Lytechinus pictus: one gene and its partners. The protein of the gene in region 2 interacts with the protein of the main gene of each other region in a pairwise test. Links are inferred from orthologs where the notes say so. Each region holds a gene or a part of one and is shown on either strand. Other genes may lie near its edges. The genes, in order: small nuclear ribonucleoprotein E-like, small nuclear ribonucleoprotein F-like and small nuclear ribonucleoprotein Sm D2.

Region 1 (7,541 bases), on a different chromosome or scaffold from region 2:
CAGGTATTATATTGGCCTACATGTAGTTGCACGGCCCAGTTTATAAAACCTTCTTTCTCTCCCCTTCCTCCCTCTATTATTCTTGTTTATCCCTAATTTCAACCACTTGAGAAAAAAATCAAAGAGGGGGATGTAAAAGTGCTCCAGGAAATGGTAGTGTCCGGTTTTGCCACCGTTGTGAATTCAATATTTCTATAATATCTGGGATAAAAAAAAGAAACTGGACTGTACTTACATTCTGAAGATATCTGAAAATCAAATTCTGTGGGAATGCAAAAGTTAGAAAATAGTCTGTCAAGGAAAATTATTTGACAAATTAATTTCAATGGCAAGCAAGATGAAACGATTCAAGATCTGAACACTGAAAACAATATATTTTTTGCTACATCTATAGCGAGTCTAGATGTTTCAACCCTTAGGCTAGGGGCGCAAGTAACAAGAAGTGAAATCCATTCAATACAATTGTTTTACATCCCACAATATTGATCTGCTATCTGCATATAAAAATTTACAAATTGAAATACAAACAATTTTTCAATTAGCAGTGGGTCATTGTAATTCATGAAAACCAGATCCCAGCAGTGTTGTGCCAATCAATGAAAATTAAATGGAAGATTTAGATCCAATCAATTTCACTATTCATATAAAATTGCACTAAGTTTTGAACCTTATTAAATAAGAAAAATCAAACTATGGATATATGACATGATTCCTTACATTATTTGCTTGAATTTATCAATATCTAACATCCCATTTAGTGTAGGCCACGATACAGACATCTGATATCTGTATTTTTTTTCTCACTTTTTTGTTTCTCCTCTTACTTTACTTCTTTGGTTTCTCCTCTCTCTCCTTCTCTTTCCCCCCTAAACGACATCACATAGTCCAGCAGAACTGACCAATCACCAAACAGAGACTGAAGCTATCAGGAGTTCAGGGGCCGATTGCACGAAAGGGTCTTTCCAAGGACCGTCTTTCCTGTCGCCCAATTTTTATGATGCGCCATGTGAAACGCATTTCAAATAAATTATCTGCAAACATATTTTACTCATCCGTTAAAATAAACAAAATGTTAGTTTATGAAATGATGTGATATCTCATGAAATTGTATAAAATTTTATTTAAAAGCAAGCTTACGAATTGTATTGTTTATCATAAATTTCAGAAACACTCCGCTTATAGCGCATCATAAAAGATGGGCGACACGAAAGACGGTCCTTGGAAAGACCCTTTCGTGCAATCGGCCCCAGGACCATTCATTTGAAATTTTGTTGCTCACCGGAGAGATATGAGATTGGGACATGTACATTGGCATCAGTCTCCAGACTAGTTTAACATTTTATTTTCGCTCTCCCAACTCCAAACATATGCCTCCCTCCATATTTTTCCAATTTTGAGACTCCACAGTGGCAAATTGTGTAGAACGGATAGCGATGCGTTCAACGCTAGCGGGCGTGTACATTTTGCTTATTACATGACGTCATCTAGCCACTGCCGATAGCCAATTTATGAATGAAAATATAGTAAGCATGCGCAGTGCAAGCCTTCCATTGCCCCACACAGTATTCCACCAAAACAAGTGTGCAATTCTCTATCACCTCGTACAAAAATCGACCTAGAATTTCCCTTTCCTATATTTTATATGAATTATGAAAGGTATTCTCGGAGGATCTATTTTTCTCACCGATACCGCACAGGTAAGCGAATTTCGATTACTTCTTGCTTTTCCGTCAAAATCTTACGAATTAGCGTCGCAGGGGTGTGAGTGGTCACAAATAAAAAGATCTGAAAAAAGCTGAAGTGTTGAAAAAGTCTGAAATAGAAAGAGCTCCCATACTTTTTGTACAGAGGAAGGCCAAAAATAAGCTGAAATTAAGCTGGAAATCAAAACAAAAATATCTGAAATCAGATTAAAATCTGAACTCTCACACCCCTGGCGTCGATATGGCATTGTGTTCGTTGGAGTTTGTAGAGTCTATCGCAACGTGCACAAAGTCAATTGATTTCCGGGTTTCGGAGCGTCGCGTGAATTTGCATGAAATTGCCGTGTCTCGATAATTTTCAATCGATACTGGAGCGATCCGATCGCAAACCAAGACCAATTCCCGCGTAAACAATGTGACCGGATATCGTTATCGCTATCGATACTTTCGCACGCAGTCCGAGGGAATTATTTTGGCGACCACGTAGTCATGACGTGATCTGCGCGATTGACCAATCAGCGGTCTCCGATTCGCTGAGCCGAGACGGTCTATCCGTTGTAAAGTCTATGGACGATTTACCACTGTGGACTCACAGTTACATGCTACATTTTTTGTAACAAAAAAATGAATTGTAAAATTAAATAAATGTATTCCATAAATAATTGAATGAATTGACTTATCAACGTCTCTTGACAAGCACAAGGATGGAAGGCCGACACAAAGAAAGAGAAAGGGAATTTAATGAGGAATTATCAGACATCGATCATGTCGACAGAAACAAATTTTTTTAACAATGTAACTTAGTGGAACTTACAAAGTCGAAGCAAACCAGTCACGTCACTCACCAAAATGTCCTTTCCCCATTTTTAATCTCAACCCCCATTAATAAATTTGTTGGCCAGGCCAAGTTACTAAAATACTGATCAATGTTGGGGGGCTGTGTAAAAAGGAAAGGAAAATCTGTTTTGTATATTTTAGTCTTATTATCAAGTTAGTCCGACCTCTGACTCTGAGACTGAGTCCGACTTTTGTTTTCCGCTACACAGCGCACAGCAGATGCAACCACAATTTAACTTCAGTCCCACACGTTAGTGTAAGTGTGAGCAGTTTCATATTCAACAGAAAACAAACACACATTAAGATACATTATAACGAGAAAAGGAGCATGTATTAGTTCTTTAAAAGGATACAATCGGTTGGACCATCACTTTCTGGACCTTCTGCCCTTTATACGCCATTTTCACAGCTTAGATCTGATCGATGAAATAAGAACAAACAATGCAGAATCGTTCCCGCTTCGTGGAGATCGCGTTCACATGTGTTTTGTCAAAAGCTATTACTAAACTGTCCCTCGCTAGAGCGCTAGAGGGCGACATATATGTTTTTCAGTCCTGACTGAAAAAGATAAAATGAGTTCAACTGAGATTTTCTTATATCCCTCATCCTTTCCTTCTCTACCCCATATCCTTCTCCTCCATCTTCTTCTTAATCCAATTTTGCTCCTCCTTCTTCTTCTTATATTGGCAAAAGTTTTAGGAAAATCCATCAAAGAATAAATAAGTCATTAGAATTCAAATTATTTGATTTGTGACATCATATGCGAGCAGCTTTCCTACATATTGTATGGTAAAAAATCAATGAAATTTCATTTTCTCTGAAAATTGAAAATGGTTTTTATGACAAATTATATATCTTCAGTATGTATTTAATAAACACATGATTTCCCACCCACTCCTAAAAAAGAAAAGAAAAAGTCATTACGAACCATTAAAATGTGAAATTTAAAGGAGAATGAAACCCTTGAAACCAGCTGAATCCATATAAAAGAGAAAAATCAAAGAAACATATTGTTGAAAGTTTGAGGAAGATTGAATGAATAATAAGAAAGTTATGAGCATTTGAATATTGAGATCATTAATGCCATGTAGATCCTCCCATTGGCAATGCGACCAAGATCTGTGATGTCACACACGTACAACTCCCTCATTACTTTAGTACTTACTTATATTCTCACTTTTATAGAGTCTATCACAAGGTGAGGTGTTCTCTTTATGAGAGGACAAGTACAGAGGTTTCACAACATTATATCATTGATGAATCGTTTGTCATATGATTAGAATGAGCAAAAAGAGATGTTTTGGGGTATATTTTCAGTGTCCAAAACTGGACAACTCTCCCCTTTTGGACACTGAAAATGTACCCCAAAACATCTCTTTTTGCTCATTCTAATCATATGACAAACGATTCATCAATGATATAATGTTGTGAAACCTCTGTACTTGTCCTCTCATAAAGAGAACACCTCACCTTGTGATAGACTCTATAAAAGTGAGAATATAAGTGAAATAAGTACTAAAGTAATGAGGGAGTTGTACGTGTGTGACATCACAGATCTTGGTTGCATTGCCAATGGGAGGATCTACATGACATTAGTGATCTCAATTTTCAAATGCTCATAACTTTCTTATTATTCATTCAATCTTCCTCAAACTTTCAACAATATGTTTCTTTGATTTTTCTCTTTGATATGGATTCAGCTGGTTTCAAGGGTTTCATTCTCCTTTAAGCATTTATATTACATAACATATGGGCTGCTGCTCGTTTATGACGTCAAAAATCAAAAACTTGAAATTCTAATAACTTCTTCACCAATATCTTTTTATTATTTTTCCTTCTATTTTTACAACAAACTTTTCGTCAGGGTGAACTTCCCCTTTGCTTTAATGAGTCTGAAATGTAACAATATATGTCTGATTCAGAAGACTGCGAACAATTGCTGCGAAGCACTGTGCATAGTTTTCCACATCAGGGCCCCGTCTTACAAAGAGTTACGATTGATCGAATCAATCTCAACTATATGGAAATCCACTGTCATAATTTTTTCTTCAGGAATTTTGCTCAATGTCTTTTGAAAACAAAGCTAGAGAAGCATACCGAATTGTCAAGAAAAACAGTGGACGTATGAATTTATGTCATTTCTAGAAAATATTTTAAACAAACTTGTGTTTTAGATGGTGACATTGCTGGCTTTCCATAGTTGCAATTGATTGGATCAATCGCATGTCTTGTAAAATGGGCCCCAGATGTATATCACTTACGTTTATTGTAACAGCAAACATATAACTGCAGCCTTTGCCTCGATCATTATTCACCTCTTCTTTTTCCCTTTACCACACTTATTTAAATTAACTCATTTTTATTTGGCCAGTCAGATTTTTTTTTTTTACCACTTTTTTTTTAATTGATCACTTTTTTCCAGTTTTTTTTTTCTTGTCAATTATTTTGCAACAATGAAGACATGTCTTTTCAGCAAAATCTACTCCCCCGCAATTAAACAGTCACTCTACCCGCTCACTTACTCAAGAAAGAAAACAGAAAGAGGAAAACACATGAAATATGATTAATATTTGTGGCAGATCACCTTCACAAATCTTTATTATCTGTGACCATAATTAGAGGGTTGCATAAAAAAAAAATTAGTTTCATCATGAAATTTACAAAGTAGTGTAATACTCTTCTAATATATGCCTATGTACATGTAAATCATATATCAATTATATGAATATTCATAATAAACAAATGGCTTTACAATAATACATATCTTAAGTTTACTGCTATTTAAAAAAAGAATATTTACATGCAACAGGAAAATAAAAGAAACAAAATCTGTCCAAACAATGCAAAATATACACTAAGATCTTCAAAAGCTGATTAAAGGCACAAGTGACTAATATATTTCATCTGATTTTTGGCATGTTAAACACACACAAGTTACTTTAGGGATATACTTCATATATCAGATACACTTCATACACCACGCGATGAGATGCCCTAGTCCTATTGAATGAGCTATTGCTGTAGTGTGGTAGATTGCCTTGACTTTATCATCCACCATCATTATTCTGAAGAAATCAATATTTGAGCAAATTAATTCGTTTTCAAGATTTGTAACTTACTTTCACATTCACAAGTTGTAATCAACTGTAATGATCCTGGGTTTTGATTTCAATGAAATACACAGAAGTGGAAACTGTTAGGAGTTAGATATCAAGAACATCAAAATTATTAAACTAGAATATTAAACTACAGTGCAAATTTAAAGTAATACATTAAATATAGATGCCCTTTTCCATCCTTGAAGATATAACTCAGTAAAAAATTTAAAAAATCAGGGATATGTGACAAAAAATCTGTGAATCATTTCATATCACACACATTACAGTTTCAAGAAAAGAAAATAGAAATAATTTGTGAAAAAAAAAATACTATTGAAATTGTATCATTTGAAATATATTGTGAAGATATCTCATTAAAAAAAATCATACATGCAAGAACTTCACCTCAGTGAAGCAAATGATTAATCATTAAATGAATGTCAGCAAAATATATACAGGAAACCAGATCACCTGAATACTTGTTTCCACACACTTATCTCATTTTGAATACATTTCACAATATAAATGATTTTTGCATCGTGATTCATGTTATCAATGAATACAGCAATGCAACTGGATATACTGAGTGATTTTACAACAAAATAATGCAGTAATCTGTTTTTCTAAAATGCATTGCTGCACTGATGCTGTGGTGGGATTTTTGTGTTGTGACTCCAAAGCATTGAATTATATAATTTGCATTTTACACTATTCATCGATATGATAAATTTGATAAAAATACACATGTAAACATTGCATATGCTCATCTAAACACATGGATACAAATTCATAAAATGTATTGTGCAAATCTAACACACTTGTTATTATCATTATCATCATCATCATCATCATCATGACCATTATTATCATGACCATCATCATCATTATTACTGTTATCACCACCATCATACTACTATTATGTTACCAATGTTAGTAATATTATTAGATTCATAAATGTTGCTATATATCTCCCTTTCTTACGTTTCAAAATTTGGTTTCATTTTCTTATCAATTCCTCATTTTCATCTACCACCATGCAAAATTTGCAAATACTGCAGATTTGCGACAAAATAATTTTAAAACTCTTTCATGAACGGCTTGCCATAGATGGTTGCAATGTCAGGCAATCTTGTTGCACATGAAACACCCCATAGACATGATAAAAACATAAATAACAAAACCTTACAAATGCCGTAACTTTCATGCAACATATCACAAAAATAAGAAGTCATGCTGCTCCTCACTTGTATACAAACACTCAAATATCACTCAGAATGAAAACAAACATTGTCCAATTCTATAATTCATCTCTTTTGTACAATGAAGAGCATAACACAAATATTGCACCTTTCGAAAGATTTGTATCAATATCTCATATAACTTTTCTCTGGCAATGAACATATAAACTAACAGGTATCAAGAAAACAAAATTAAAATACAACTTTCACCTAAATGTGGCACCTCCATCCAATAACACAGGACGTTTTTGAAAAAAAAAGGAAGTTATACATTTGAAGTATTTTTATTCAAACAATATATTTATATATCATTTTGTATTATTGTAAAAAAAAAATATCCACAAAGTCATCCTCCATGTTTTCTTGCGTAATTTAGAGGCCACATGCAGGATTTATTTTTGCAAAGAGAAAAAAGGGTATTAAATTATTTAAAAACATAAGAAGAAGAGGGATTGAAGTAGCCACACTGATCACTGGGTTGCTTCTTGACTTTTTTTGCTTACACGGAAGGATCAAAATGGTTACCCTTTGAAAAGTTATCAGATCTGACAGCTTTCCTCGTTTCTGATTGGATGAGAAACACAGGAGTCTGACTGTTGCTATGGAAATTATTGCACGACAGCTTGTCAGTGTTGACAACCTTCATGAAACGGTCCCTGTGAGCA
Region 2 (7,462 bases):
TTTTCTTCATAAAATGAGAGGACATTTGAAGCTAAACTTGTACAAAAGTGGTTGAATTACGGATTGCCATAATCGATTGTGATTTTAATCGGTCCAAATCGTTTTGTATTTAATAAAGACATAAATTCCCTCCTCCTATGCATCACAAATAGTTTGTCTTATTGGCAATGACCTTGAAAAAAGTAAGACAAATTAATTAATACTAAATCATCCAAGTACTCATTATGGACTACCGATACTGCAAATTATCAACATGATCAGGCATTCATTCTGTGAAAACATCAATTTGGAAATGTGTTGTAAATCTCACAGGTTTTGCCAATTTTTATGGCATTTACAGCTATTTTTAGATCAATGTCAAGGTCAAAAGATAAATATGTGACTTTATGTATTATTTGGAGCTTAAAAAAGAACCAGAAAGGAACAAGATTTGCAATTATCAGCTTAAAGTCACTGTTAGTATTGAAATAACACAAACTGTTACCAGGCTTTAAAAAAATAGGCTTTCTTGTGCTTTTCACTGGCCTCAAAGCCGTGACAGTTGTACAGCCCCGAATGCTATATTTCTTCTAAATTCTAGATACATGTAATTTTGATAATTCCAATTTCTAGAACTCGCACTATCCTGCACTCTGATGTGACCTGAAACACACACAAGATATTCAGGGATACATGGTTACTCTCATGTTCCAAGTTTCCATGAACTAGATCTATTAACTTTTTAAAGTTATGATGACAATTCCTAACATACCCCCAACATTATCAAAGTTTGTTCCATATATTTTCATAAGTTATGACATTTCAAAAACTTAACCTTGGTTAAGATTTCAATGTTGACGACACCGCCGTCCCTGTTGGAAAAGCGGCACCTAGTCTCACTCTGCTATGCAGGCGAGACAATAAGAGATGAAGGAATAAGGGTAGAAATAGAATTTTAAAGAACAGAAGAGATAACAAAATTCAAAGCATGTTCCCAATCGCGTTAAGTTGAAACAGGAAGTCGAATCAACCTATTCTCAGCTGCTTTTATATTGGTTAAATTCATATCCTAAATTTGAAATATTTTTCCATTGTCAATATTTTCTATTTCCGTAGTAGTATCAGCACCCCAGCCTGCTAGCGTTTGCTGACGGCCCGCTCATTTTGCCGAAGTCCTGCTGCTTCAATTTCTCTTGTCAAGTGCTCGCCTATATGTATGAATGATCTCATCATTTCAGATTTATATCGGATTAAAATTTTACTTTCTCAGCTCAGGATACGAATAATTTTTACAGTCATGAAGTACTGATTTGTTCATAGTGGCACACCAAATTTGAACTTATTTTTTAAAGTAGAGTGATTCGCTAATCAATGACTTTGTCACGGAAAGAAGCAAACATGACTAGATCTAGAGCTGGAATTGTACAGGACACTAGCCGCAGAGTTGTTTGCTGAGGCCCGCTATATGGACGAAGATCGCTTTTTTAATTAATTAAACTGTGAGACTGTTCATAATATCAAACAAATTTGGAACTAATTTTGGAAGAGGACTGATCAGGAGTTGGTTACTGAATTACTTTTGTCAATTTTTTTATATTGACTTTCAGACTTTATATATCTAGACATACATGTATGTCAACCAGGCCTAGGAATAACTACAGTCAGTAGAACTGTATCAATTTTTTTTTTTTGGTACAGTTTGCCAACTCCAAAAATACCTAGAAATTGTCATCAAAAGTATGCTTCAAATTGCACCATTTGACATACAAAATTAAAAAAGCGTCAGGCCAGACTGTGGGAGAGGAGACACCCCCCTCTCACACCCATCCGCCGCACGATCGCTCTGCTCCCTCGATTGTTGCAACAAAATATTTTCTTTTCTTTTTTCTACCCCACTCACATGCCTGTCTTTATTTTGTTTATCCAAGTTTACATACCGTAGACCATATGAAATTGAAACAATAATGTTGCTACGCTTGTTTTTTTTTTCAATTTTTGTGAAGTAAATCATTTTATGTTGGAAGCATAACCCCCCCTCCCCCCTCCCAATAAAAGAATGCCATGTTTCTTAGCAATAATGATAGTCGTATTATCATGTTTATGAATATATTTACAGTTGGAAGAAAAATTGAACTAAAGTAAAAAAAAAAAATAAAAAATAAAAATTGTCATGCTCTTCAGTATTTTATTGTGAAGTTTGTCATGTATCAAGTGTAAAAATTTCCACACCGCAAAATTTTCCACTTTTACAGTAGTCTATAACTATAAGCAACAATTTTCATAACCATTCTTTATAGAAACAAAATTCATTATAAATATATGACAGACCTTCGTTGTGACAAACTGGCTGAGGGTTCGCAAATGGCGATCCATTATTTTATAGTTTCGAACCAAAGTTCTGAAAAAAATTGCAGAACCAAACTCGAACATGCTGCCTGACTTAGCAGCACTATTTTCATGAGAGTCGTTCATTGAGAATGACGAGAAAAAACGCAGAGGAGAATAGAATACAAGCAGAATATTACACTTTACAAGGAGATTGCATTGGATTTGACATGAAATATATTAATTTTTTTTACTATTCTTCTTGACTAAATAATTGGCAAATTGAAATACAGAACTTTTTGTGTACATTGTTTGAGTATACATATCTGCTCAAATTTTTTTCTAAAAAAGTTATTCAAATGCATTAAAATGATAAATAATTGTATAAAATTGGGGAAGAACTTTGGGCTTTAAGAAGCATAAACAAGACATTAAATAAGTACTGTATGTAATAATATTTTTTCCTGTCTCATGTCAAGTTGAATGAGTCTAGCCTGGCTTCATGTTAATAATTGATCAATAGATATGTCTATGGCTATGACTGTCTATTTTAAAGTTAACATTAATATTTAACTTACCTGAACATTCATGTAACCATCAACAGATACTAAGTAGCCCTTGTACTCCATTCCCCATTTGAGACGAACCATCACAGGCTTTCCAGTGAGTCCATTTAAAAATGGCTTGGGATTCAGTGGCATTCCCTGTATACATATAGTAGTAAAAAAATTCAAATTTAAAGCTCAAGAATATTTGCCATTGCTTGGAGTGTAACACGCCTACATGTACTTTAGACCAAACCCAATATTTGCCCACCTATCATATGATCATAGCCAGTTAGCACATTTATTCACCATAAAGTATGGTAATCACAAGAAAATACTCTCAAAGCCCGAGTCATAAAGTCAAAAACTTTCCTCACAATCCTAATATCACCATTAGCATAGAATACCGGTACCATTTCCATGACCATGCAGAGATAAATCTACAGTGCATTTCTACGTTGACTGTCACATCATCAAGGAATTACATCAGTCACCTACAGTGTTAAACTTACTCCTGATGCCATGGCCGCCTAGACGATCGTGATGAATGTGCAGTTTGTCATTGAATTCTTGTCAATTTGGGGGTTACTTAGGGGTATTCCCCGACTCTTTCTTTAGAATTTATCATACATGTACATACCGACACACTAAGCTATCTGCACATTAATGAAGAAACAAATTTCAAGATGAATTTGCTTATTAATATTCAAACTATTGAGAGTTATTATTGGAAATTTCACTTCCAGAAACTGTATACATGTAGGCCTATCCACTAACTTTTATTCAGAAAATGACATTTCATCATTTACCAATTACGGCTAAATTATTGAATAGCAAATTATGATTTGGGGGGGGGTGATGACGTGAGAATTTATTGTCAACGTCATGTCAACGTTTAAATTGTCCCATGTGCGAGTCTTGTAACAGCGCGAGAACTAGTTAAGTGTTTTGCATAAAACAATATAGAGGTTTCGGCGCAGAAATCGAAAAATCTCTTAGGCTACTAAATCTATTGAAAATCAACGGGTCTCAGTGTGTAGTGAAATTCAGGTACCACATACTTTATGACTCCGGAGTCAGCATTCACGATATGGCCCAATTATTGCAGATGCCGAACAAACAAGTTTGCATGTTAAACTCCAAAAGCCTCCAAGACCAAATTCGGACCACTCTACCTCTGTGAAAACATTTCATAACCTTAATTCAGCTTGTGGATAGTTCCCTGTGTTTATATTCTTTGTACACTACATACAGCAATGCAAAATGAGAAGATAAACTATTTTGGAATTAAAAAATTCCTAAGTTAGCCATCATAAAATATAATGAATTATATGGTCGCTAGTGCTGTTGTCGATAGGCCTCATATCGACATTGATGTCGCCATACAAAGGAATTTCAAAATTCTGACATGTCGACATGCACGCACCCACATCGACATGTAAACATAAAATAAAAAGAGGTCTAGCCTTAAGTCACGAGTGTAAAGCTTAGCTGAAAAGTTAGAAGCATTTATCCACAGTAATTGGCGCGATTAAAAGGTTTATTCAGCTTAGCAGCGCATTAAATGAAAAAAGAATACCTGCGAGCTGCGTAGCAGCAGAAATAAGTCAGTGCGGGGCCGGCCTGCCCGATCAAGCCGCCCTCGATCCTGACTATCTCTCTAGATCTATATGTAGCGCTATAGCGAGAGTAGCGTAGCATTCACCGTACCCATCGCTATTCACCGTGCTTGATAATACGTTGCTCCTCAATCCATTACTTTTCACATAAACGTGAGCAGCAGCGTTTTTGTCAAAGTTGTGACCGCCGTAATTGAGAGCTTACTTCATATCACGAAGTCAAAGAAAACTTCCCTTTCTTTGTTTGGAGATCGTTGCACGGATCGCCGCGGAAGTGATACTGAAATTATCGGTCAATTTTCATTATTTTTTATTGTCAATTTGAGGTGCTTGCATTTGCAGCACATGTGTACTAGCGTATATTATGCAATGATCACTGTTGTAATTGGTGATTCTCAAATTGGCACCGAGTGTTGCGCAATGCTTTCGAGACCGGATCGTGGTACAAAAACTTGATTCTTCAGAAAAAATGTGGATTACATCAGTGATTTTGGAAGTGAATTCACTCTAGCTTAGTGAAAATATGTTTTCCCGAACTGAGCCTGTATTTTATCGATCTTGAGTTAGTGTGCGCATGGGATATCACTCGTGTCAAGGTTAATACATTTGATTGAGAGTGTAAATGTTATGTTCCACGATCGAATGATTTTTTTCATGTTATGTTAGGGAGCCTAGGCTAAATTACGGTCCCTTTTTCATGTCGACATTGTCGATGTCAGGATTAATTTTCAAGCGACATGTCGACATGGATTTTTGTTCCCAACAACAGCACTTATGGTCGCATTTCATAAGTTGGGTATGCAAAAAGGGTGGTGGATGAACAATTTTCAAAATGGTGCCATGGAAGAATTGTTGCTACATGTACATCACAGCATCTTGACCAAATTTATTGAGCAAGATCTCATTTTGAAGCTAGAAATATATGCTAAATATATTACTATAAATTTTACAATATCAGGAGCAACAAGAGTGTCACTAAGGCACAGAATATGGTGTTATTGACCTTAACTGACCTTTGACCTTGGTTTTGTGACCTGAAACTCACAGGGGATGTTTAGTGATACTTAATTACTCTTATATCCCAAGTTTTATGAAATAGATCCATAAACTTCAGAGTTAGGATGGTAATTCAACAAATACCCCCAACACGGCAAAAGTTCATTGACCTTAAATGACCTTTGACCATGGTCATGTGACCTGAAACTCGTACAAGATGTTCAGTGATACTCGATTACTCTTATGTCCAAGTTTTATGAACTAGATCCATAAACCTTCAGAGTTAGGATGGTAATTTAACAAAGACTCCCAACACGGCTAAAGTTCATTGACCTTAAATGACCATTGACCATGGTCATGTGACCTGAAACTTGCACAGGATATTCAGTGGTACTTGATTAACCTAATGTCCAAGTTTCATGAACTAGATCCATAAATTTTCAAAGTTATGAAGGTAATTCAACAAATACCCCCAACTTGGCCAAAGTTCATTGACCCTAAATGACCTTGGCCATGTGACCTGAAACTCAGGCAGGATGTTCACTAATACTTGATTAACCTTATGTCCCAGTTTCATGAACTAGATCCATAAATTTTCAAAGTTATGATAGTAATTCACAGGCATGAAAATTGGGTATGAAAAAAAAAGCTGAAAGGGTTTAGGAAATGTCGTTGACAAGACGGTGGGCGAAGCCCACCGGGCGAGCGGCTTGCCGCTCGCTGCTAACGGGTGGGGTCCAGGGGGCAACGCCCCCGGAAGCTCCTGGGTTTTATCAATTTTACAACTCCAAAAACCTGTTTGAGTTGAATGATTGTAATGAAGTATTTATATGGATTTTTTGTCCAAAATTCAATAAAAAAAAACTAAAAAATACTAAAAAATAGCAATAGCACTTCCCTGGTTTATCAAGTTTCCTGATCACTTCAAGCAGGTTGTATGAAGAATTGTCGGGTCCTCTCACCTCCACCTCTAACCAACTCCATCGCCACATATTAGCAAGTCCACGGTCAATTTCATGAACATCTTTTGAAAGTCTATCCACAACATCTGTGCGGTCACAAGTTAGTCCCCCACAAAATGCCATTTTTCTTGATTCGTTATTACAACAACAAGAAAAAACAAAATTCTTGGATTTCCAGCAAATTAATATTCGCGAATTATAAATGCGTCATGAAAATTCCATGTCACGTCACAAATCTCTGCGAGCACATTCAGCTTCTTTATCGGTCTTCCACCGGTCCGATATGATATGCGCGCCCGGTCGCTGCATGCCCGGCGCGCCGGGTTGCCCCCAGCGATTGCAAGCACACCACCGCTGCACTGCATGCACAGAAACGTAAAACACACCGCGAAATACACGTGTAGAGTTGAGATGTGCTAGATAAGAGATTCCTGCGCAATCGTTGTAAAGGCCAAACGTCATATAACACGTAAGATATGCTAAACCATTTAAGCGCTAAAAATCGGAAATTAAAACGCGGATTTTAGGAGTAAAAAAATGGAAATTCAGCAAACAAAAAACGCGGAAATCCGCGGAAACGCGGAGAATTTTCATGCCTGAATTCAACAAAAAAACCCAACTTGACCAAAGTTCATTGACCCTAAATGACCTTTGACCTTGGTCATGTGACCTGAAACTCAAGCAGGATGTTCACTAATACTTGATTAACCTTATGCCCAAGTTTCATGAACTAGGTCCATATACTTTCTATGTTATGATGTCATTTCAAAAACTTAACCTTCGGTTAAGATTTTGAAAATAATTCTCCCAACATGGTCTAGGTTCATTGACCCTAAATGACCTTTGACCTTAGTCATGTGACCTGAAACTCAAGCAGGATGTTCAGTAATACTTGATTAACCTTATGTCTAAGTTTCATGAACTAGGTCCATATACTTTCTAAGTTATGATGTCATTTCAAAAACTTAACATTAGGTTAAGATTTGATGTTGACGCCGCCGCCGCCGTCGGAAAAGCGGCGCCTATAGTCTCGCTC
Region 3 (7,164 bases), on a different chromosome or scaffold from region 2:
AAAGGCCCCACAACAAATATGCTTTCTGAGTAGGCCTAGCTGGTTGCATAAAAAAAAATCTTTTAACGATTAGAGATCATGTCCCTTTCTCTAGCTTTTTTTTTAAACCTCCCTTCTCATTCAACTATTCATCTCATCTCATTTTCTCTGATTTTCCTCTTCTGTCCATCTCTCTTATCCTCTCCATCCCCTTCTATTTCTTCCATTTCTACTTTCATGCCCCTCTCTCTCTTATTTCTCTCCTTTATATCATCTCGATCTCCCTCTTTATTATTTTCCTTTCTCTTTGGCTTCTTTCTCTCTCATCTCCTCGTCTTTCTCATCTCTCTCTCTTACATTCCCTCTCTCTCTTTCCCCATAATTATATCTTTCTTTTATTTCCCCATCTCCCTTATATCGAGCCCTCTTTTATCTCCCTCTCGTCTCGCCTTTCTCTCCTCACCTCTTTCTCATTCCTCGATTTCCCCTCTCTCTCCCTCTCTCTCTCTCCTTCTCTTTGATCTTCCTCTTCTTTCCATCTCTTCTCGTTGATCGTCTGTTTCTTTTTCTCTCTCTCCATCTTTACAATTTTTCCTTCAACTTTCTCTATATGAATTTTGAGTAAATATTCCCTTCCCTCCCTCTCATACTCTTCAATCACACATTCAGGGTGAAAAATTGAATAGAAGTTTAAGGGCAAGAAGGTTGTTACTTTTAATGAGCCTTCAAAGTTGGACCTTCGTGTGCTCAGCAAGGAAATATCTACTATAAAGTACCGTGTATGTAAAAATGGGCACAATAGAATTTGAATTCTTATGAAATTTAATTTGGAAGAGCATGGATGTTGCACGACATGTGCTTACATCAATACACTTTTACATAAAGGAATGGGTGATGGATAAACAAAACCAAGTCAACTCTAACAAGTTTACTATTAGAGCACAAATCAGAAAGTCATAGCAATGGTAATTCCATTTAAAAAGTTGTTGCACTAAATTTCGCTTATTTTCACATACCAGTTATATGCATATCCTGGTGAGTATGAAATATTCCACAAGTCAAAAATTGTACAAAAAGACCACTACCTCTTGTCAAATGACCAGACGTCCCGTATTTCCCGGGATCGTCCCGTATTTTGCTCCTTAATTTGTCCCGGCGTCCCGACAAACCCTTCCCGGGACATATCTGTCCCGTATTTTTAGAATATTGAACAAAATATAGTTGATAAATTAAAAAGTGACGAATTTTCATCACATAACCAAACAGAATGACGAAGCAGAGACAACAATAAATCGATAACTAAAACTTTTGCAAGTTCTGTGGGTGATTTTTATCCTAACCAAATACATTGCAAACGAGCTGGCTTCCTGCCTGTCACTCACACTAGTACGAGGTTAGTATTATTGCCTGCATGTGTGTGAAACAGGCTCTATGCATGTAGGATCGGAGCATAATGATGCAAACAATCTCACATGATAAACAGTTTTTCCACCAAAATAATCACAAAATCGGCGGAAAATTTTTATGATCGTAATTCTCAGATTACTGATTAAATAGGATCGGAGGAACAAGTTTTTTTTAGTTTTCATAACGGGATCTACATGCAGTTGTTTTAGCTTTTTGAGTCTTGTTGTGTATATAGGATGCCGGCGCTGTTTCCTCTCATTTGTAAGTTGACAATGTTTCACTTTGAAATTTTATTCATTTCTAAACCACTTAGTTTTCCAAAATTAAAAAAAAACACCAAATATCATTATCATTTCTGTTAGATGACTGGATTGCTTTTGTTTGCTTGAAGTTTGAACTTTTTCCTCTTTCCTTTTTATCCTTCATCCTTCTATCCTTGTTTTTTTTTTGTTCCATCTACATCTTTTAATATTTCATACCTTTCTTTCCTGATCCTTTCTGTGTTTTAATTTTCTTTCTTTCCTTCTTCCTCCGTATCTGCCATTTTTATTTCCGTCATTCTTTCTTTCCTTATACTTTTATTTACTCCCTTCCTCACCTTTTTCTTTTCGTTTTTTCTCTCCTTCCATTATTTTTTTTATTTTCTCCTCCCTTCAATCTTTCCTCCCTCTCTTTCATTCTTTCTTTCATTCTCTATTTTTTCCTTCTTCTTCTTTCCCCTTATTCTTTCTTTCTTTCCCTCCCCCTTCCTTCATTTTCCCTTCCCGTTTTCTTCTTTCAAAGAAAAAAAAAACATTTTTCTTTCCTTTATTCTTTGTTTCCTCCTCCTTTTTCTTATTTTGTCTTTCACACATCTTCCCTTTCTTTCTTTTTATTTCTTTCTATATTGGGTGAATTCAAAGAATGACGGAAACCTTTTTTTTTCTCTTTTATTCTTTCTTTCATCGTCCTTTTGATTATTCTAACTTTCCGCTTTTATTTTCCCCTTCATTTGTTCTTTCTTCTTTCTCATTTCTTTTCTTTCGTCTTTTTTTTCTCTCCTTCATTCTTTCGTTATCCCTCCCTTCCAATTCTTTTTATTTTTTTCACAAGTATAACATCGTGTAGCCTTCTTTGATGAGGCGATTGTCCCGTATTTCATTTTGTGAAATCTGGTCACCCTGAATTAGACCCTTTTTTTTAACTACATGAATTACCAGGTCCCAGTACATTGTGCATATAGAAATATGTTTGTACATGATTGGCTTAATGACATTAAAATACACTTTGCCACACTATTAATTTTATATTTATAGAGAAAACATATTGCATCTTGCACATATTTTCAATTGCCTTCTACGGCGCGCTCTCGAACAATTGACCTAGCAAAATGGCGGCGGTCACGTGACTTATCGATTTCGCCGGCGCTGTTTTGCTTGGGTGAACACGACTTCCACGTATTTTTAGTTCAGTGACTGCCTAGCATGCAGCACGGCAGAGCGCTGCGCTGACTGCACTGCTGCTCAAAGTGTGTCTCCGCAAAGTGTCTGAGTGCATGCAGAATTGAAGGAAGCAGCAAAATATTATGTGCCGCGTCGAGATTAGTCTGCAGGCACAGACCTTCGGTTTTCACACAGCGCATATGCAGAGTCTGAAGTAGTGAGACTAGATTCACTCAATTAGCGGTGGCCTATTCTACCAAATCTGATTTGACACAGACAAAACAATTGGAGTCTTCAATCTAGTCATGGTATAAGTTGTCAAATTTTAGTCTGTGCTTGTAGACTATGTTGAAATTTCTATTTTGGAGATTGGTATGATTCAATATACAAAAATACATGTAGATCTATAATTCCCACATCGTAGATAAAGCCAAACAATCGTGATCGAATTGATACAAATCGGATATCAGATAGTAATTATTTTTATTATTTTTATTTTTTTCACAGAATAGTTAAAGGTCAAGTCCATCCCAAAAAAATGATGATTTGAATAAATAGAGAAAAATCCAACGAGCAAAACGCTAAAAATTTCATCAGAATCGGATGTCAAATAAGAAAGTTATGACATTTTAAAGTTTCGCTTATTTTTCACAAAACAATTATATGCACATCTCAGTGACATGCAAATGAGACAGTCGATGAGGTCCATCACTCACTTTTTCTTTTGTTTTTTATTGTTTGAATTATACAATATTTCATTTTTTACAGGTTTGACATTAAGGACCAACTTGACTGAACCATATAGTATTAAAACAATGCTAATTCCACGTGTTCAGGGAGGAATTAATCTTTGTTTAACTTGACAATGAGGAGAAAATTAGAATATTTCATATTTCATATAATGAAATACAAAAGAAATAGTGAGTGGATGACGTCATCAGTCTCCTCATTTGCATACCGACCAGGATGTACATATAACTGTTTTGTGAAATTAAGCAAAACTTAAAACTGTCATAACTTTCTTATTTTACATCCGATTTTGATGAACTTTTCAGTGTTATGCTGGTTGGATTTTTCTCTATTTATTCAAATCAACTAATGGTTGGGGTGGACTTGTCCTTTAATTCATTCATGGACCTATCCACGGAGGATTATTCTATTGTCACTGGGGGTGCTGAGCATTGTCACAGCACCCCCAGTAACAATAGATAATCCTCCGTAGATATATAGGTTCTCTCATCAGGCTCTCTCATCACTCAAAAACAGGTCCGACATCATCATCAAGCCTGCAGACAAAGGATCAGCCGTCGTTGTTATGGACCGCCAGCAGTACATCGATGAAGCCATGAAACATCTCAATAATCGATCTCACTATGCACTCCTCGATTCTGACCCTACTTGTAATTTCTCCCTACAGATCAAATCGACACTGAATGACATGAAAGAACACGAGCATCTCTCTGAGAAGGCCCACAAATTTCTCTCCCCTACTAATGCTAAACCTGCCCGCTTCTATCTCCTCCCGAAGATCCACAAACCTGCCAACCCCGGTCGACCCATCCTCTCAGGAAATGGTTCCTCAACAGAGAACATCTCCCTTTTTGTTGATTACCACATTAAGCCCCTTAATTGTCTCACGTGCACCCTCTTACATCCACGACACTCCAGACTTTCTCAGGAAACTAAATGACATCAAGGACCCGAGACTGCGATCATCGGCACTTTCGATGTTTCTTCACTGTACACCAGCATTAATTCCCCACGACGAAGGTATCCAAGCATCATGTGAAGCTAGCCTTGGCCGCCAGTGGCCATTCCAGTCCCCCCATATCCGATATCAAATCTCTGATGTCTCATGTACTAACAAAAAACAGCTTCACATTCATGGGCAAGCACTATACCTACAGATATTCGGTACAGCAATGGGCATCCGGATGGCTCCTTCATTCGCCTGTCTCTTCATGACGAAGCTGGAACAGCAGATGTTAGATTCAGCCCCCTGTCGCCCATGGATTTGGTGGCGTTACATAGACGACATTTTCTTCATCTGGACCAGAGTGAAGACAGCCTCCATACATTCATTGACCACATCAATTCCTTCCACAGGACCATCAAATTCACTTCTGATTTCTCCCAACAGGAAACCCACTTCCTTGATGTTACAGTCCAGAAAAAGTATAATGGTATCACCACTACCCTATACTCTAAACCCACAGATACCCACCAGTACCTCCACTCATCCAGCTGCCACCCCCGTCACTGCAAAACCGGCATCGCTTACAGTCAAGCCCTCAGACTTCGCCGTATCTGCTCCGAGGACCCTGATTTTTCCTTCCATGCCAGGAATTTGCAGAAACATCTCTGTGCCAGGGGCCACGGGCCAGGGCAGCTAGTCCAACTGGCAATTAACAAAGTTCGTTCTCTCCCCAGATCTGAAGTTCTCAAACCAAAAAGTGACAAGGAGACCACCGACAGAATACCGCTTGTGACCACCTTCCATCCCAATCTACCCCCTCTCCGCAAAATCCTGTTTGATAACCACCACATTTTACCAAGGAGTTGGAAGCTCCTTGATTTTACACACTTCTGATCGTCTCCAACAGGCCGTTCCCGATACTCCCCTTCTAGCATACCGACGCCCACCGAATCTCAGGGACCTCATTGTTCGTGCTGAAGTGCCCTCCCTCACTAACCATTCTTCTCCCATACAACATGGCACCTTCAAATGCACCAGCAACAGGTGCATCATATGTGAAATACACCTTCACGAGGGCGATACTTTCACCAGCAACTCTACCAGCCTGTCTCACCAAATCAAGGGCAACATCACATGCACTACCACTAATGTTGTATATCTCATCACTTGCAGAGTTTGTAGGGTACAATACATAGGGGAAACCAAGACCACACTCAAGAAACGATTCTACGGGCACAGATCCACCGTCAACACAGCAAAGCTGGACACTCCAGTTGGCCGCCATTTTAACCTCCCCAACCACTCCATCACTGACATGATGCTACAGGGCATCGAATCTTTAGGTACCCGTCCTGACTCAGTCCGTACTAGCAGGGAGAAGCTCTGGATGAGACGACTTCGCACCACCCAACCTCATGGCCTGAACATCCAAGAGGGGAACGACTGATTTTTCTTTCCTATCCACTTTCAATTTTTATATACATATAGTTTTTCCCCTCAGCTCTTTTGAATAGTTACATTATAGTTTCTTACTCTACTTTCCTCCCATATCTCATACAAGCTTAGCTCCAATTTTTCCTTCCTTATTCAGGCGATATAATAATTATTATATATATATATATATATATATATATATTTGTTTTTTCTCCACTCACCTCTTTTAGATTTACCACATTTGCTTATTTACATGTATACTATGGTTTCTTCATAATACACCCCCTCTCTTCTATATTTGCTTTTACTTTTTTTAGGCAATTTGCTTCCTCTTTTTCACATATACAGGGTGTTTTTTTTTTTTTTTTTCCCCTACTATATAGACTTATAGTCTTATGTTTTTTTCCCGTCACACCTAGCGGATTACAATATCAGTTACACCATATGTGTATTTATATATTTTTTCATATACATTTCTTTTTTGGATATATTTATATACATATCACTTATAGATACATATTTACACTTACCTTCTTCTCTTAGTTTGTTTAATGCTTTATCATATATACTTATATGTCTTTTGCACATTATCAGTTGTTCCCCATTCTTTTTCTTCCCCCCCCCCCACTCTTATGCACCAGTTTATTAAGCCTTTCTTTGTAACCTGTTTGACCCACCTCTCACTATTTCTCTTGTTTTTCATCCCATTATCTCTGTTTTGTTCCAGATCCTGTTTGATGTTGCCTGCCTCATTATTTTAATCCCTCTTGGCTTGAGGTCTTTTACTGGCCTTACTTACACATATGGCCCCTGTTACATCTGAAAGTTTCCTACCCGAGACCCGACCGAGTCCACTTGCAACCTTGACTGGATTATTGGTGGATTAGCTTCGCGAACGGACCGAGTCCGAAATGTGGTCTGTTTACATCACAGCGTTCATTCCCTCCCCTATCGGTACGGTTTCGAGCGGTATCCGATTGCTGACACCAAAGGGCACTCTCGATCTAGGCTCTGAATAATTTGCGCGCGCTAATTGAAGTTGTTTACATTTCGTTATTCTGGAAGCATGCTGATGATCCCAGCAGTCGTTGAAGATATGATCGATTTGAAAAGAATACGTTTAAAGTGCTTCCTTCTTTCCACTAAAATCAAAGACTTTATCAATCACAATTCACATGTCAAAAGCCGCAAAACATTCGAAGAACGACGGGGCTGGGGAGGGGATAG

What was found.
Region 1: the proteins of small nuclear ribonucleoprotein F-like (region 2) and small nuclear ribonucleoprotein E-like interact in binary tests that used the Drosophila melanogaster proteins (3 or more experiments, as listed by UniProt). The link is inferred for Lytechinus pictus from reciprocal best matches to the Drosophila melanogaster genes SmF and SmE.
Region 3: the proteins of small nuclear ribonucleoprotein F-like (region 2) and small nuclear ribonucleoprotein Sm D2 interact in binary tests that used the Drosophila melanogaster proteins (3 or more experiments, as listed by UniProt). The link is inferred for Lytechinus pictus from reciprocal best matches to the Drosophila melanogaster genes SmF and SmD2.

What each region holds. Positions count from the first base shown.
Region 1 is NC_087263.1:5,424,027-5,431,567, reverse strand, and holds the start of small nuclear ribonucleoprotein E-like, read right to left. Parts: upstream 3,057-7,541; 5' UTR 2,942-3,056; coding exon 2,894-2,941; intron 263-2,893; coding exon 236-262; intron 1-235. UniProt on the Drosophila melanogaster protein: Plays a role in pre-mRNA splicing as a core component of the spliceosomal U1, U2, U4 and U5 small nuclear ribonucleoproteins (snRNPs), the building blocks of the spliceosome.
Region 2 is NC_087247.1:76,327,733-76,335,194, reverse strand, and holds the start of small nuclear ribonucleoprotein F-like, read right to left. Parts: upstream 3,046-7,462; 5' UTR 3,006-3,045; coding exon 2,883-3,005; intron 1-2,882. UniProt on the Drosophila melanogaster protein: Plays a role in pre-mRNA splicing as a core component of the spliceosomal U1, U2, U4 and U5 small nuclear ribonucleoproteins (snRNPs), the building blocks of the spliceosome.
Region 3 is NC_087251.1:24,557,059-24,564,222, forward strand, and holds the start of small nuclear ribonucleoprotein Sm D2, read right to left. Parts: upstream 3,004-7,164; 5' UTR 2,845-3,003; intron 1-2,844.